2 linked regions of the Drosophila melanogaster genome follow. The protein of the gene in region 1 interacts with the protein of each later gene in a pairwise test. Each region holds a gene or a part of one and is shown on either strand. Other genes may lie near its edges.

Region 1 (6,286 bases):
TTTAAGCTCTATGGAGGCGAACAGTTCGCCTCAATGCCAAAAAGGTATTTCAATGTTGCCAACGACATTATTCAAGCGAAGAATCTGAAACTAGATCTCGACTGTGTAACACTTTCCCTGGTCTTGAGCAAAGAGGAAGCCCTGCTTTTTCAAGTAGAGTAAGTTCATCCAAAAATATATATAGTGCATGTGCCTAATAAACCGCTCTAAACTTTAACAGACCTCCAGCCGGATTTTCCCTTAAGCCGGTAGATATAGACGATGCTCAGGTGATTAATGATCAATGGGAATGGAGTGAGCCGGATTCCCTTTCCGTGGTCCGCCGTCAAATTCTGTATGACACAGAAAGAAATTCATGCTATTAGAAATAAATTCTCAATTACTATTACTTCGCAGGGCTCCAGATGGCTTATTGGCAGTCCTTCAGGTCAAGACGACCTACAAACGCAGAGGCTTCGGCCAACTGATTGTGAAGGAATTTGCGAGACAAGAGGCTCTGCTGGGACGCGATACAATCACCGAAGTGGTTCCGGAAAACAAGGCATCCTTGGGCCTGTTCACCAAACTGGGCTTTAAAATCAACGACCAGTGTCACTGGCTGATGACGGAGCCGCCAAAAGGAGTTCGATAAGATTAAGGACTTGTTTATCTGTAAATGTTATTTTTTTTGTAGATTTAAATTATTAAAGCTGATAAGTTTTAGCAGCTGGCAAAAAATGTACTGGCTGGCCATAAGAAAACCACACGTAAGAGAATCTAACGATTTGAAGAGATTGCATGAAGAGAAATAGACAAGCTGCTTGATTGAGTCACCCAAACAACAATCAAATGAGCCATTTTCACTCGGTCGCTCGAAGGGGAAGATTGTTTCGCTCGACCAATATGGGTACTCGATTAGAAGTTATTGGGCTGAAAGATATCCAGGAGTTCCAACAGCTCTACAAGCAAAACTGGCCAAAATATTGCCAGGAATACTACTGCCTTGATAACTTTGTGGAATTTCTGAAAAAACAGCCCCATATGAGGAATATTAAGATGTACACATTGGATGCAAAACAAGCCAGAGATGAAGGTCTTTTTGTTATAGTGGTGAGTTCTACATATATGTATAGACTGCAACTCACTAAGAGAGGCGGCCCTCTCTTAGGATCGCTATCAACTATTCGTAGGTTGCTTGAACAACACGAACGGCCTTGTTGGAAAAGCTCTGGATTTACTGGACTGGTCGTCGGGTTTGAAATGCAGTTCTATACCCTCCAGACACATTGGTGCCCTGGATAGTCTGGTGGAGTCCAAAAAGTTGAATCTGGTGTACAGGGACTGCACGAATTTGTTTTTTATGAAAGCCAACGACGCTCTCAAGCTGAAAGTCGAGTAAGAAATAATAATCCATTTAACATAACGAGTTTTATATGATCTAAGTCTTGTAGACCTCCATCTGGATTTGTTTTAAAGTCGTTGAGTGTGGCAGATGCTCCATTGGTTAACGCAGAGTGGCCCAATCATCATGAGGGATCTTTGTTCTTCGTAGAAAGGCAGATTCGCCTGTGCGTCAGTGTTGGATTGTACCAGGAAGACACCCAGGAACTAGTTGCCTGGTGCATTAGGTAAGACGAATGTATTTTTATAAAGACACATTACCTGATATCGAAATCTGTAGGTTACAAGGCGGCTACTTGGGCGCCCTGCAAGTCAAAGATACACACAAGCGACGCGGATTTGGCAGTGTGGTGACTAGGGAAATAGCATACCGCCTAGCCGTCCAAGGTCACGATGTAATGGCTCTCGTGGGCCCCTCGAATAAGCCGTCATCGGAGATGTTCAGCAAACTGGGATTCCAGGTCATCGATCAATGCTACTGGCTAAGGACGGAACCCACCGGTGGGCAGTTCACATGGCCCGAGGGCGAGTAATTGGTGTTTAAATGTCTGTATTAAAATATTACGACTTTCGGTTGTATATGAATACAAGTATTGGTATAAAAATATGCCGAGGCATTTGAGCTGTGCTTATTCTAAAACTCTAAACGAGCGAGCAATCCCTGGCAGCGATCTTCTAATTGGAGGGGACTACACTGGATAGTCGGATCCTCTGTTAGAGTCCGGGTGATCTTCCATAAGCACTCGAGATCGTATTGCACATGATAATCGTTCATTGTGTAACTATCGAATAGTAAAAATTTGGTGGCTACGGTTCCCTCTGCCAATCGGCGAGCGGCTATAAACTCCAGTAGTTCTATAAAATCGAGGTAGTTGATACCAAAGCTGGCCCTCAGCATTGTCTGGCAGTGGGCCTCAAAGTTGTCCATCTGCTGGCAGTCGGAGATCTCATTGCAAACGGCCTTCAGGTTGTTCTTAAGGTTTTGCCAGACCATGGATATGTTGCAGCCATTGAACCAGTTGTGATTGACGGATATGGTGTCTGTTAGGTTCCACACCTGATGAAACCAGCCACTGGGCACGAAAACAGCTTCATTGGCCCGCTGATTAATGGTGTAATATCGCACGTTGTGCTCATCCAGCATTTTCTCGTCTATACTAAAGGGCAGGTTTCCCAAGCGATCGTTGAGTTTGAGTTCTTCTCCCGGCGGCATTATCAGCCATTTCTTAAGGCCCACTATATTGGTGGACCAACTGAAGGAGCCAAACACGTCCGCATGATAGGAGGTCCTAGAATGGAAGGTAATTTAGCATGAGAAAACCAGGTAAGGCATCAAAATAGACCATGAGTTCTTGGGCCCCATATAGACGAATCGATAGTCGTCTTTCCCCTGCTGAATCAGTTGTTCGTTGAGCCAGTCGGAGGCAAAGTATTTAGGCACCTTGTAGAAGTTATAGCCCGGCATTTGGGCAGCCAGATGCCAGTCCTTGAGGTAGAGATTGTCCCCGCTCGCGGGAGCCACATTACTATTCACTTCCGCCGACGTCCACGCTGCTGACGATTGACTTTCGATGCTACTCCTCCACTTGGCCAGGTAGTCGTGGAAGTTGAGCTCCAGTTTGGTGTGACTATTGAAGTACGACGAATTGCAATTGGCAACTGGAACCGGGCCATCGCTGATCTTGGTTTTGAGGTAGTCAAAGTTGATGGAAGATGCACTCGGATTGGAGTTGAGATCCCGCGACTCTGGACTGGACTGGCCTACAGTCCAGTTCTGGCACTCCCAGTCGTTAGACACATTGGCTATGATGACCGGTATGTTCTTGTGCATGTAGCGCCAGAAAAAATCGTTATAATCTAGTCCAGAACAGCGCTCGATTTCCTCGGGCAGCTGTGGGTCAGTTTCCACGACTTCCTCGGGATGCAACTGGAGCAGGACATCCCCATCCCGCTCTTCGGACGCCATTCGATCTGGCTGTGGGTCTTTGAGGCGCTCAAATTCCTAATCATGCACTGGCTGTTCCTTTTTGAGTTCCTTGTAAAAAATTCCAAAACGATATTTGGTTGCAACTTTTCTGTGTGACCATCGCAAATAAAATAACATATGGTCTTGCCGTTATATCAATGTGACCGTTTACAAGTGTCTTTATAGACGATAGACGATTTGGTATTTTTCAAGGATGGGTTTGAATGAAGGCTACGAATTCATTTAAATTAACTTAAATGGAATCTATGAAAAAAATTCTTAAAATGATAAAGCTAGCACCCCAATAAGTTAACTTCACCAGATGTTTAATCAATAAATCCCACATGGTTATTTAATACGATTTTTTATCAGCGATTACATGTATGTACGTTGGCTGTTATTTATCTAGCACAGCTTCGAACACAATGAATGTAAAAACGTGTCGTAACAGAAAAATTCAAACTCCCCGAAAACTGTGGATAACATTTTAATGGAATTTTTCGCATAAAAAATTCATAAAATTAAAAAGTTTTTGACATACCGTGACTTGTCGCGCCATGTACCGTCGGCTTATCCCGTCGATTTATTCCGCCGACTGTATATATATATATATATATTCTTCATCAAGATCAATAGCCGAGTCGATCTGGTCATGTCCGACTGTCCGTATAAGGAGCTATAAAAGCTAGAGGGTTGAGATTCAGCATACAGATTCTGGAGACATAGACTCAGCACAAGTTTATTGACACATGTTGCCAAGCCCACTCTAACGCCCTAAAATCGTCCAAAACTTCGACGTCCACAAAATTATTATTTATTTTTGATAATTTTTTTTTATAATTTTATTAACCTTGCAAATTTCTATCGATTTGCCAAAAACCTTTTTGCAAAGCCCACTCTAACATCCTAAAACCGCCCAAATCTGACCTCCACATTTTTGAAAATTGTTGGATATTTTTTCATAATTTTATTGATCATGTAAATTTCTGTCGACTTGCAAAAAGCTTTTGGCACGCCCACTCTAACGCTCTAAAACCACTTTTAACAAATTTCAAATTTTTTACTCATTTTATTCCCCAATATCTATCTATGTATATCCCAGAAAAATGATGAAATTTTGCGTTCGCATTCACACTAGCGGAGTAACGGGTATCTGATAGTCGGGGAACTCGACTCTCTTGTTATTTTTTAGAATTCACCTATAAAAACCGAAAAAATAAATAAATTAAGAACCCCCTTAAGTTCCACATTCCACCATTCCACGTGTTCCAGCAATAAAACAATTTATTATTTTCCTTAATTGGTTTTATATTTACTGCAGTTGGTTTGCCTTTAGAGTTTTATTCGCTAAACATTTTACCATTTTCAAGTTTTTAACTACAATTTGGTTTTACATATGCATGTCTGAGATTGTGTGTTTGTTTCTGTTCAATTTCAAACTGAGAAAGAGATCAAATAAGTGTAAGACATTTTGAGAATCGAGTTGTAGTGTATATATGCATGTTGTTCTATGCTAGTCGGTTTTTATTTCTAGATCTAGGCATATTCGTATATGTATAAACTTTACAGATATTTATTTTGCGACCTTCCAGGCCAGACTTATAGCTACATGATTACCAACAAATCTGCTCATCAGACCAGTACAGTATAATACGCTCGAATCGCTTGCTAGAAAACTATATAATGACCATACAAATTAGCGTATAGGTAAAAATGCTATATACACATACAAAATCGTACAAAACGTAACAGTAGATTCTCATGCTATCAATCGTTATAAAGGTGTTTACAATTTATTATTCGGTTTCGGTTTAGAAAATGTACAATTATTGATTTTGTCTTGGGTTTTCGGTTTTTCGGTTTTACATTTTTCGGTTTTTCGGCTTGCAATATTGGTTTAGTATGTATAATTTGTTTACTTAGGCTAAGCGCATTTTTCTATATTTCCATCTTTTTATTTAGAAGGTACAGAGAGACTGACTGAGAGATCTATGTATCTGTGTATCTGGTAGGTGAAAACGAATGTAGTATGTATGTATGTACTATATGCTGCAAAACTTCTATATCATTATGAATTTTTGCTATACTTATTGTGATCGGAATCTATGTACAGTGTTCGTGTAGCAGGCAGTGCCACGTCTACACGTTGCTTACGAACTAATTTAGTATTCATTACGCTATTTATTCATTCAGTTTCGACGCCCTCGAACTGCTTAAAAATTTAACTAAACATTTCATTTACGTCCCGCCCTCGCTGGAACTAAAGTATTTAATTACTTTACTCATTGTTTATAAGTGTATGCTTTCCCACTCATAAGTATTCGCATTGGATTTAATGCTAAATCAAATACTTTGTTAATTAAATATCTTAGCTTAATACATGCTTGATATGTAGTTCTCATGTAAATTAGTGAAATAATTGAAAGTTCACAGAAGAGAAGTGGAGTGTTTGTTGGTCCAGTTGGAGATGAGCTAACAAAGTCTGGTTTCTATATGGATTCGAGGTAGGAAATAACTTAGTGTTACGTTAATTTTGTGTGGGACTCTGGTGCAATTTATAAGTAGGTGTGTTCTTCCTTGGCAGTCTGTAGATTGTCATAAAATGAAAAGAAATTCGATTCGATTACCAAAGGGAAAGATCGAGGAAGTTACTTCCCAAGCCAAATAATCAGGCATTCAAATGTTTACGTATCTTAAAAATATGTATTTAAAGCTTATACGAATCGTAGGTATCTATATCATTAGTTTAATTTACGTTCCTTTAAATTTGCTACATAGGTCTATCCACTATACATCTGAAGCAGCAGTTCAATCGATTTCTCCTACGATTTTGGGTACATCCCCGGCATTTCCGGTACAACCTCGGTGTGTTTGGATCCGCTGCTCAATTAGCTGGACGTACAGTTGTACGGGTCGTCCGTGCGGAAGTTCGGATGATCC
Region 2 (7,294 bases), on another chromosome or scaffold:
AAAGCTGCAAAAGCGAAATTCTAAATGCAAAGTCGAAGAACGAGGCCCCCGTGCTGGAAATCTCCATGGAGACAGAGGATATGACGGAAACACAGAGTGCCAATCAGTCGAAACCTAACCAATGCGATGCCGAGGTAGCACTCAAGAACCTCGAGCACTTGCTAGATGCCCAGCGCCTGGTAGCGGAGATTATAACCAACCTGGGCTCCAGCGATGAACAGAGCAACTGGGATACAGATAGCGAGCATTCAGAGTCTGAGAGCGTGGCCGATTACGACATGGAGGACGAGACAGCTGACAGTGGATCGGGGGGACTGCCCGCCAACTTCTTGGAGACTATCAAACAAAACAAAGTGATCGAGAAACTATGGCAAAAGGCTCAACCACTGCAACCTGCTGTGGAAAATCTTGTGTCCCAGCAAGAGAATATCAAGGAGAAAGTGGAAAAATTAAGAGTATCATACTTGATTTGCCTCCAGAACCTATGCAATGTGCTGCCCCCTGAAGATTTGGGGGGCTGCAGCAACCTCTATAACATGTGGATGATCTTGGGTCAACAAGCATTTAGGGGAAGTGAAGATGTATCCGTTATGGAGGCCATTACGTCACTAATGCGCTCCTCGCTGAGTTTGCTCAAGTCTCGCAAGGATCTTTTCGGCCAGATGACCGAGAATGATCTCAACATGATTATCGAGGGCGCTAGCAAGTGCACAGATATAAATATTCGCGTTAACTGGAACCGCATGCTGGGTACGCTGGGTTCTCTGCTCTCAGAGCCCCTGGTTAAGGCAATAGTGCTCTTCCTATTGACTTACTGTGCCCAGGAAGATGACCTGTGGGCCCTGTCTGAAGGACTAGATGCACTAATGGACATTTTCGCAGTGGACGACTGGCCGCAGATCATCGCGGAGTTGGAGATGTGCGATCGTGTCCAGGCACTAGAGGAGTTGTTCAAGTCTAAACTGCGGCAGCAGCGACGGGAGCTAAAGGAGCGACGAGCCACAGTGCAAACAGTGAAGACTAATTTTTCACGCTTTGTTTTTTATCTTAATAAGAACTGTAAAAAATAAATTAACATGACCACTAATTAAAGCTATTGTCTAGTTTCAGAGAACAATACTTTTAGTTCTTAAGCATGCCAAAATATTTGTCGACGATAATAGAAACAGAAAAAATCTGTTAAATTTGTAACTTCCTAATTGTCATGTCTTTTGTATTTATTAATATTCGACTAACAAGTTTTCCACTTAAAAAAGCGTTAATAGATCGATTGATTCCATAGCTAAAATGTAAAGCATATTTAGTTTTCAAGTGCAGCAAGTGTTTGTCCATTCTAGTCCAAATCCTTTCATCTGTTAAATCAAGTCCTTCAAAGTTTGATCCCTGCTAAATTTTATTATTCTGGTACATTTTTACAACTTCGACTTAGTCTCAGGCGGGTTCTTCTCGAGAACATTCTTCATTTCGAAAAAGGATTGCTCGAGGGTCTTAACGAACTTCAAGTGATCCGTTATTGGGCAATGGCGCCAAGCGGATATGGCCAATATGATGTCATTATCCCGAGGATTATAGCAGCATGCATAACCATCGTCAGTCGCCGGGCCGTATCCCATGAAAGCATCGTATTTAGTGGCTACCTGTGAGGTGGACATGCGGAAGTGACTGGACTTAACAAAGCCCGGCGACTTGAAGAACTCGGGAATTGGCTTGCTGTGCTCCAGAGCCATCAGCTTCAGTCCAAGCAGGTGACGATCCACACCCTTTCCCTGAAGAGCCAGCTTAGCATACGTCTGATGAGACACTACTGCCTCACGAAGCTTGGCGGCGCGTTCCTGATCGGTAACGTTTGGGTCCTGCATAGCGCGGGAAAAGGCCAGGGATTCGTTGGAGCAAGAGCGTATAGTTTCGGTTCGTCCGCCGTCGAATATGCGCAAGTGCGCCGACTCATATTGCGCAGGTGGTTCCGAGTGCATTCTGCAAAACGTAAATGTATTCGGCTATATTGAAAATCTGTAGGAAGATCATCTAGTTACTTGTAGAAGGCGAGCTGCAGCGCCATCTGAACAAAGCTGTCCGGACCCAGACGCTGTTTCTTTATGAAATCCTTTCCAAAGCCGTTGAATTTCAGAACCTTCATTTGGAGAGCATCGGCAAGTTTATCCACGTTTTCCTGGGCGACGTTCAAAGATTTCTCTAGACTTTTATTGCTCGAAGAGAACTGTATTTTCTGTGCAGGAGCAAAGTCCTGTGAGCCAGATTGCCCGAAGCTAGGGTCTTCCTTCCTAAAATAATATAAATTATAAATATAAAGTTGTTTTTAACCACATGCGCCCTATTCAACTTACATCTTTTGCACCACGTAGTCCATCATCATCGCAATGGGCTGGCCCTCAGCCGGCGAGTGCTCATAAGTGAATCCGACGTTTCCATTGGGGTTTACCACCAGCTGAATAGTCTTGTCCATCCAACGGTTGCCGCTGTTTATCTTGCTGCCACTGCCATGGATCAGCGATAGGATAAGTTCGTCGGTCTCTTCGCCTTCCTTTAGGATAGTACCCTCATCGAGTGAGACGGTGAACAGAGCACCCTGAATGGTCTTGAGGGCATCCCGGTTGCCAGGAGTCTCAACCAGATATTCGTAGGCCTCCGCCCAATTGTCCCTGGAGTCGGTGGTCAGAATACCATAAGGAACTCCCACTTGCGTTTCCTTCAAGACGATATTCTCGAGTTGAGCAGCTAGACATGGTGCAGCAATGAGCTTTCCCTCCTTACTGTATATCTTCAGTTGGTAGAAGTGATTCTTGTAGATCACCACCACATAATCGGAGTCGGGATTGTACACGATCTCGTCGGTGCCCCTTCTGGGAATCCGACATGTGCCGAATACCTTGCCAAACTGGCTGTTGTCCAGCTCGTTCTTGCCCATTTTAACGATCGGAATTTTGTTGGCGTGCACCATGTCGTTGAATTCTCCCAGTCCATAGATAACCCTGGCGGTATAGTCCACGAAAGCACGTGAGTCCCTGAAGTTTTGCTTGGGAAAGGTCATGCCAGGACTCACGAACACGGTGACTGGATCTCGATAGGTCAAATAGGCAGCCTTCAGCCAGCGGTGGGCCAGCCAATTCTTCTCCTTGCTGCCGGTTTCTTCCAGGAGCAGCTGCAGTTCGCGTCCCTGCTTTTTTAAAAACTCGGAGGTGATTCCCTTTTGCCGTTGAAACTCCTCAGGCGTCAGGAGAGGTTCCACAGTGGTCATGAAGCGGTTCAGCGTTTCCTCCAGCGGCAGGACGTGGTACTTCAGCAGATTCGGCTGCTCCAAGGGAATGGTCTTCTGGACGGTGCTGTAGCTGCTAGCGGGCAGCACTTTCTTGGCGATCCCATTTGGAGACTGCTGGGCCAAGGAGTTCTTGGTCTGGAAATCGAATGGGATACAGATTACCGAACGGAGAATCACAAGCATTCCATATGGAGCACTACCAAATTCCACAAAAGCTTTCCATTGCCACGGAACTTCATCTCGGCTTCGGTTTTCTCGAGGATTCGCTCAGACGTTGGGCTGCAAAACGGAGAAATGGTATTCGAGTGTTACTTTAAAGTCCAACCACCGGTTGGTGTGCCTGTGGCACTGAATTAACCTTTGATATTTGTACATAATCTACTTCTAGCTATAAGGAGCGATAAACTAATGGCTCACGATTAGCAGCCAGCGGAGGAGGCAAGTGCAAGCAAAACGGCAGTTGCCAATCAACTGGCCATCGAAAGAGCAGTCCACGTAGGCAGAAGGGTGGGAGTGGAGTGGAGCCCAACTTAAATGCTATCAGCGACCGGTTTATTTACTTTCGCTCTCCCAAGAGTGCGTCTCTTAATATCCATACCATACCAGCGAAATACACGATGATTACCATCTAGATATATAACCACTTTTTATATAATCCTTAACTGGTTCGACTGTCCTTGCCCATCAGTTCAAATAAAGAATTTAAGTTTACCTCACTCTTGTTTTGCTCCGGTTAATTAACATCTATAGATTCTATATAAACATATATGTTTATATATGTTTGTATGTTCAAATCAAAACAAGAAACAGCTGTTGTCAAACAGCAACAAGTAAATAAGCACTCCCTGTTGTTGGTTTAACTGTGCTATCAATAATGGATAACAATCGATTAAAATCACAAGCAATTCCAAAACTTCTTTAAAGCTAATATTTAGAAAACAAGCAATACTATTAGTATGCAATATATGTTCATGATAAGCTAGCGTACGTTTTGTGAATAATATCGATGAATTCCCAGCTCTAGTATTCATAAAAAACTAGGGGGGTTCTTTGCAGAAAAATTACTTTAGTAAATTTTCGGCACGAATGATAATCTCAAAACGTTAATATTATTAAGTAGAATAACGTGAACTTTTAAGATTTCAATTTTTTTTTTTTGGAAATCCAAAATTAAGCTTTAAAAAACTTTGCCCAATAATTTGTTCCGGCTTTTTATGAGACGAACCAAACTATCAATATAATGTTTAATCTGCTAAAAATTCTACCATTGGTTTTGCTGTATCATTTGATCTTTGCAAATTGTGATTTCACAGTCCGAACCGTTTGATCTACGTTTTGAAAAACTAACGTTAATACGCCACGGTCTCTGGATGAAAAATGTTGGCCCTTGTCGTTTTTCTGATTGCCAGTTGTTTGACCATTCAAACGGCAGCCACTACGACACCAAGTCCAGCGGTCACCGAAGCTGGTCACCCATCTCCTGGAGGTTCGCAAGGTCAAGAGGAGCCAGGAAACAGCTCCTCAACGGAACTACCGGACTACTGCGATCCCTCCTTGTGCCACAAAGAACTCAAACATGTGGCTTGCAACGCATCAATCGTAAGTTACTAAACTAAAATGTGTGCCACGTGATAACAACCAACTAATTCAAATTAACAAAACAACATTTTTTGTTCGCATACACTATATAAGGTATAAATGGTTGAAAGAAAGCCAAATATAAATTAATTTAGGACTTTTTCAAATTTTCAATGTCATAAAATTTGTTGATAAAATTGATTAGTGACGAATATTAATTTCGAATTGATTGGCTTTTGAGAGGTATACCTTCGTTACAAAATGTCATACTAAAAGTTCTGGGTTATTTTTGTTTCCAAAATGCGTTACTATCCTAACTTGTTACCAATAATATCTTCAGGAACTGCACGACAAGTGCTCTCTGGACGCTGAGCTCATAGTGATAAGCCCAAAGGTGGAAAGATTCCTATTAAGGCGATTTAATGAGTTGAGGGATAGCGTGGCCAAAGGAGGGTTCAACGGACTGAGTCCTGCCAGTCGGATGGGCACCTTGAAGTGGAACCCGGAACTGGCCTACCTAGCTGAATTCAATGTGAGGGATTGTGTCCTGAGGCACGACGAGTGCCGGAACACGAAGTTCACGCAAAACGCTGGCCAGACGGTTGGGTATCGAGGCATTAAAGGAAAATTGCCAGAGTTGGAGGATATCCTTAGGGATATCATAGGGGTGTGGTTGCGGGAAAAATCCAGAACTTCGATGGTGAACATCATGAAGTATGTCGAGCAGGAATCTCAGTGAGTACCACTTAAGGAATATATAGGGTTGTTTACTCGGGCGTCCTTACGGGATTTGGTAAATATTTCAACCTGAAATGATTATTATTTATTTTTTAATATTTTGTAATCCTTTCTAAATCTTATCTAAATTTATAAAAAGACCGAAAAATTGTACCTGTTGTTATTAGGAGACAAAGTATCTGAATGTTATAATTCTGTCACTTTTCTTCTTAAATTAAAAATTAAATTTTTCAAAATTACTATAAACACCAATTGATTATATTTTGACAACATAAATGTTGATAATATAAATATTTTTTTTTGTTTCTAAAATAATATTAGGGCTTGCAAAATAATGGACGCGAGTGTGCGACAAATGCCTTTTGACAATTTTACATGAACTTTTAAAGGAGAGGAATCCATTTATTTTCATGACCACCCGCTGGAAAATTATAGTAATTTAGTCTTGATGTTGATTTCACTCACATTTTTTTTATTGATATTAATATTTGATATGATATAGTTTCTTTTAACAACACTCCGTTATGAAATTCTTCTTATGTTATATGCGGCCGTACGCTTCGCGATCTTCTCAAGAATAAAACGATTGCATGTGGATTCCATTGGGCTCTCTTCTCTGGCGAGGGATTGCATTCTGCCGGATGACTCTTGCAGATGATATTGATTGCAATTAATTAAGAGGGGACTTACCTTAGTTTATTTATCTTAGCTTATTCCATAATCCATATCCATAACGATTGTTTTTTATAAGCTTTAATAGAAGAACTCAACCCCATGAACTTATCTTTAGAAAGTTTTAATTATTTGTTGGTCCGAAAATTAAATATTTTATATAAAGATTCGCTTGTAAATTTCCAGGCTACATCTAAGAACATTCAATACATAAAATAAATGTGGGTTTCATGATTTATTACTATATGAAAAAACGGAATTAATCAACTTCAACTTGTGTTCCCATCTATCAGGTCGCCGAAGTACAACTTTTTACAGATCGTGCTGGAGAACGCTGAATCCGTGGGCTGTGCCATCGTTCAGCAGTCCCGGCATGGCTGGATTCAGACGTTTTTCGCGTGCAACTATGGCCACGCCCCGGTTGTGGGCTCGCCCGTCTACGAGCCCGGGAAAAAGGCGGCGGAGTCCTGCAAGACCGGAGCGAACCCGAAATATGCACATCTCTGCGCCGAGTCCGAGGTCTACGAGAAGGTTACGCCGAAAGCAGGAAACGCGTCCAGTCCCGAAATTAAAACTAGAACTCTTGGAAAACGGGACTTCGTCATGCTCAACGGCGAAAACGCTGATGGAACGCCGCCAGCTGAAGGTGGGGCACCAGCACCAGCAGCCGATGGAGCAGCAGCAGCGCCTGCCGCCGAAGGAGGAGCAGCTGCACCTGGAGAAGCTGCAGCCACTCCAGCAGTCGACGGAGCAGCGCCAGGAGCCACTCCAGGAGTCACCCCGGTGGAGGGAGAAGGCTCCACTCCTGCACCAACAGCTGGAGGGACACCCGCTTCCGAATCGCCAGGAGGGGAAGAAGCTCATGCCGAAGGGCTACTGGAACCCATGCCAAAGCCTCTGGACAGGGCTGCGCTGGAGAAGAAGTTCGCCCGCTTCCTGGCGCTGATAAAGCGGGCTGAGATGTTCCATGGTCGCCGGAAGATCGTGGTCATATCCAGCAATCACGAGGTGGATGATGACCGCGTGCAA

Evidence for each region.
Region 2: the proteins of JMJD4 (region 1) and CRAT interact in a two-hybrid assay, tested with the Drosophila melanogaster proteins (one large-scale study listed by BioGRID).

What each region holds. Positions count from the first base shown.
Region 1 is NT_033779.5:18,155,195-18,161,480, forward strand, and holds JMJD4 (jumonji domain containing 4), read right to left. Parts: upstream 4,079-6,286; 5' UTR 3,888-4,078; intron 3,820-3,887; 5' UTR 3,347-3,819; coding exon 2,724-3,346; intron 2,670-2,723; coding exon 2,015-2,669; 3' UTR 1,916-2,014; downstream 1-1,915. Other genes in the region: CG15155 (uncharacterized protein), read left to right, coding at 1-158, 221-334, 397-631; CG5783 (uncharacterized protein), read left to right, coding at 883-1,089, 1,148-1,374, 1,431-1,607, 1,661-1,913; CG42750 (uncharacterized protein), read right to left, coding at 6,235-6,286. UniProt on the Drosophila melanogaster protein: Catalyzes the 2-oxoglutarate and iron-dependent C4-lysyl hydroxylation of eRF1 thereby promoting the translational termination efficiency of eRF1. May be involved in regulation of chromatin structure, promoting expansion of heterochromatin.
Region 2 is NT_033777.3:6,369,825-6,377,118, forward strand, and holds CRAT (carnitine O-Acetyl-Transferase), read right to left. Parts: upstream 4,202-7,294; 5' UTR 4,022-4,201; coding exon 3,990-4,021; intron 3,751-3,989; exon of another isoform or gene 3,653-3,750; coding exon of another isoform or gene 3,636-3,652; intron 3,557-3,635; coding exon 3,478-3,556; intron 3,413-3,477; coding exon 2,346-3,412; intron 2,283-2,345; coding exon 2,034-2,282; intron 1,975-2,033; coding exon 1,413-1,974; 3' UTR 1,202-1,412; downstream 1-1,201. Other genes in the region: CG10286 (uncharacterized protein), read left to right, coding at 1-1,070; CG42564 (uncharacterized protein), read left to right, coding at 4,655-4,876, 5,196-5,590, 6,559-7,294.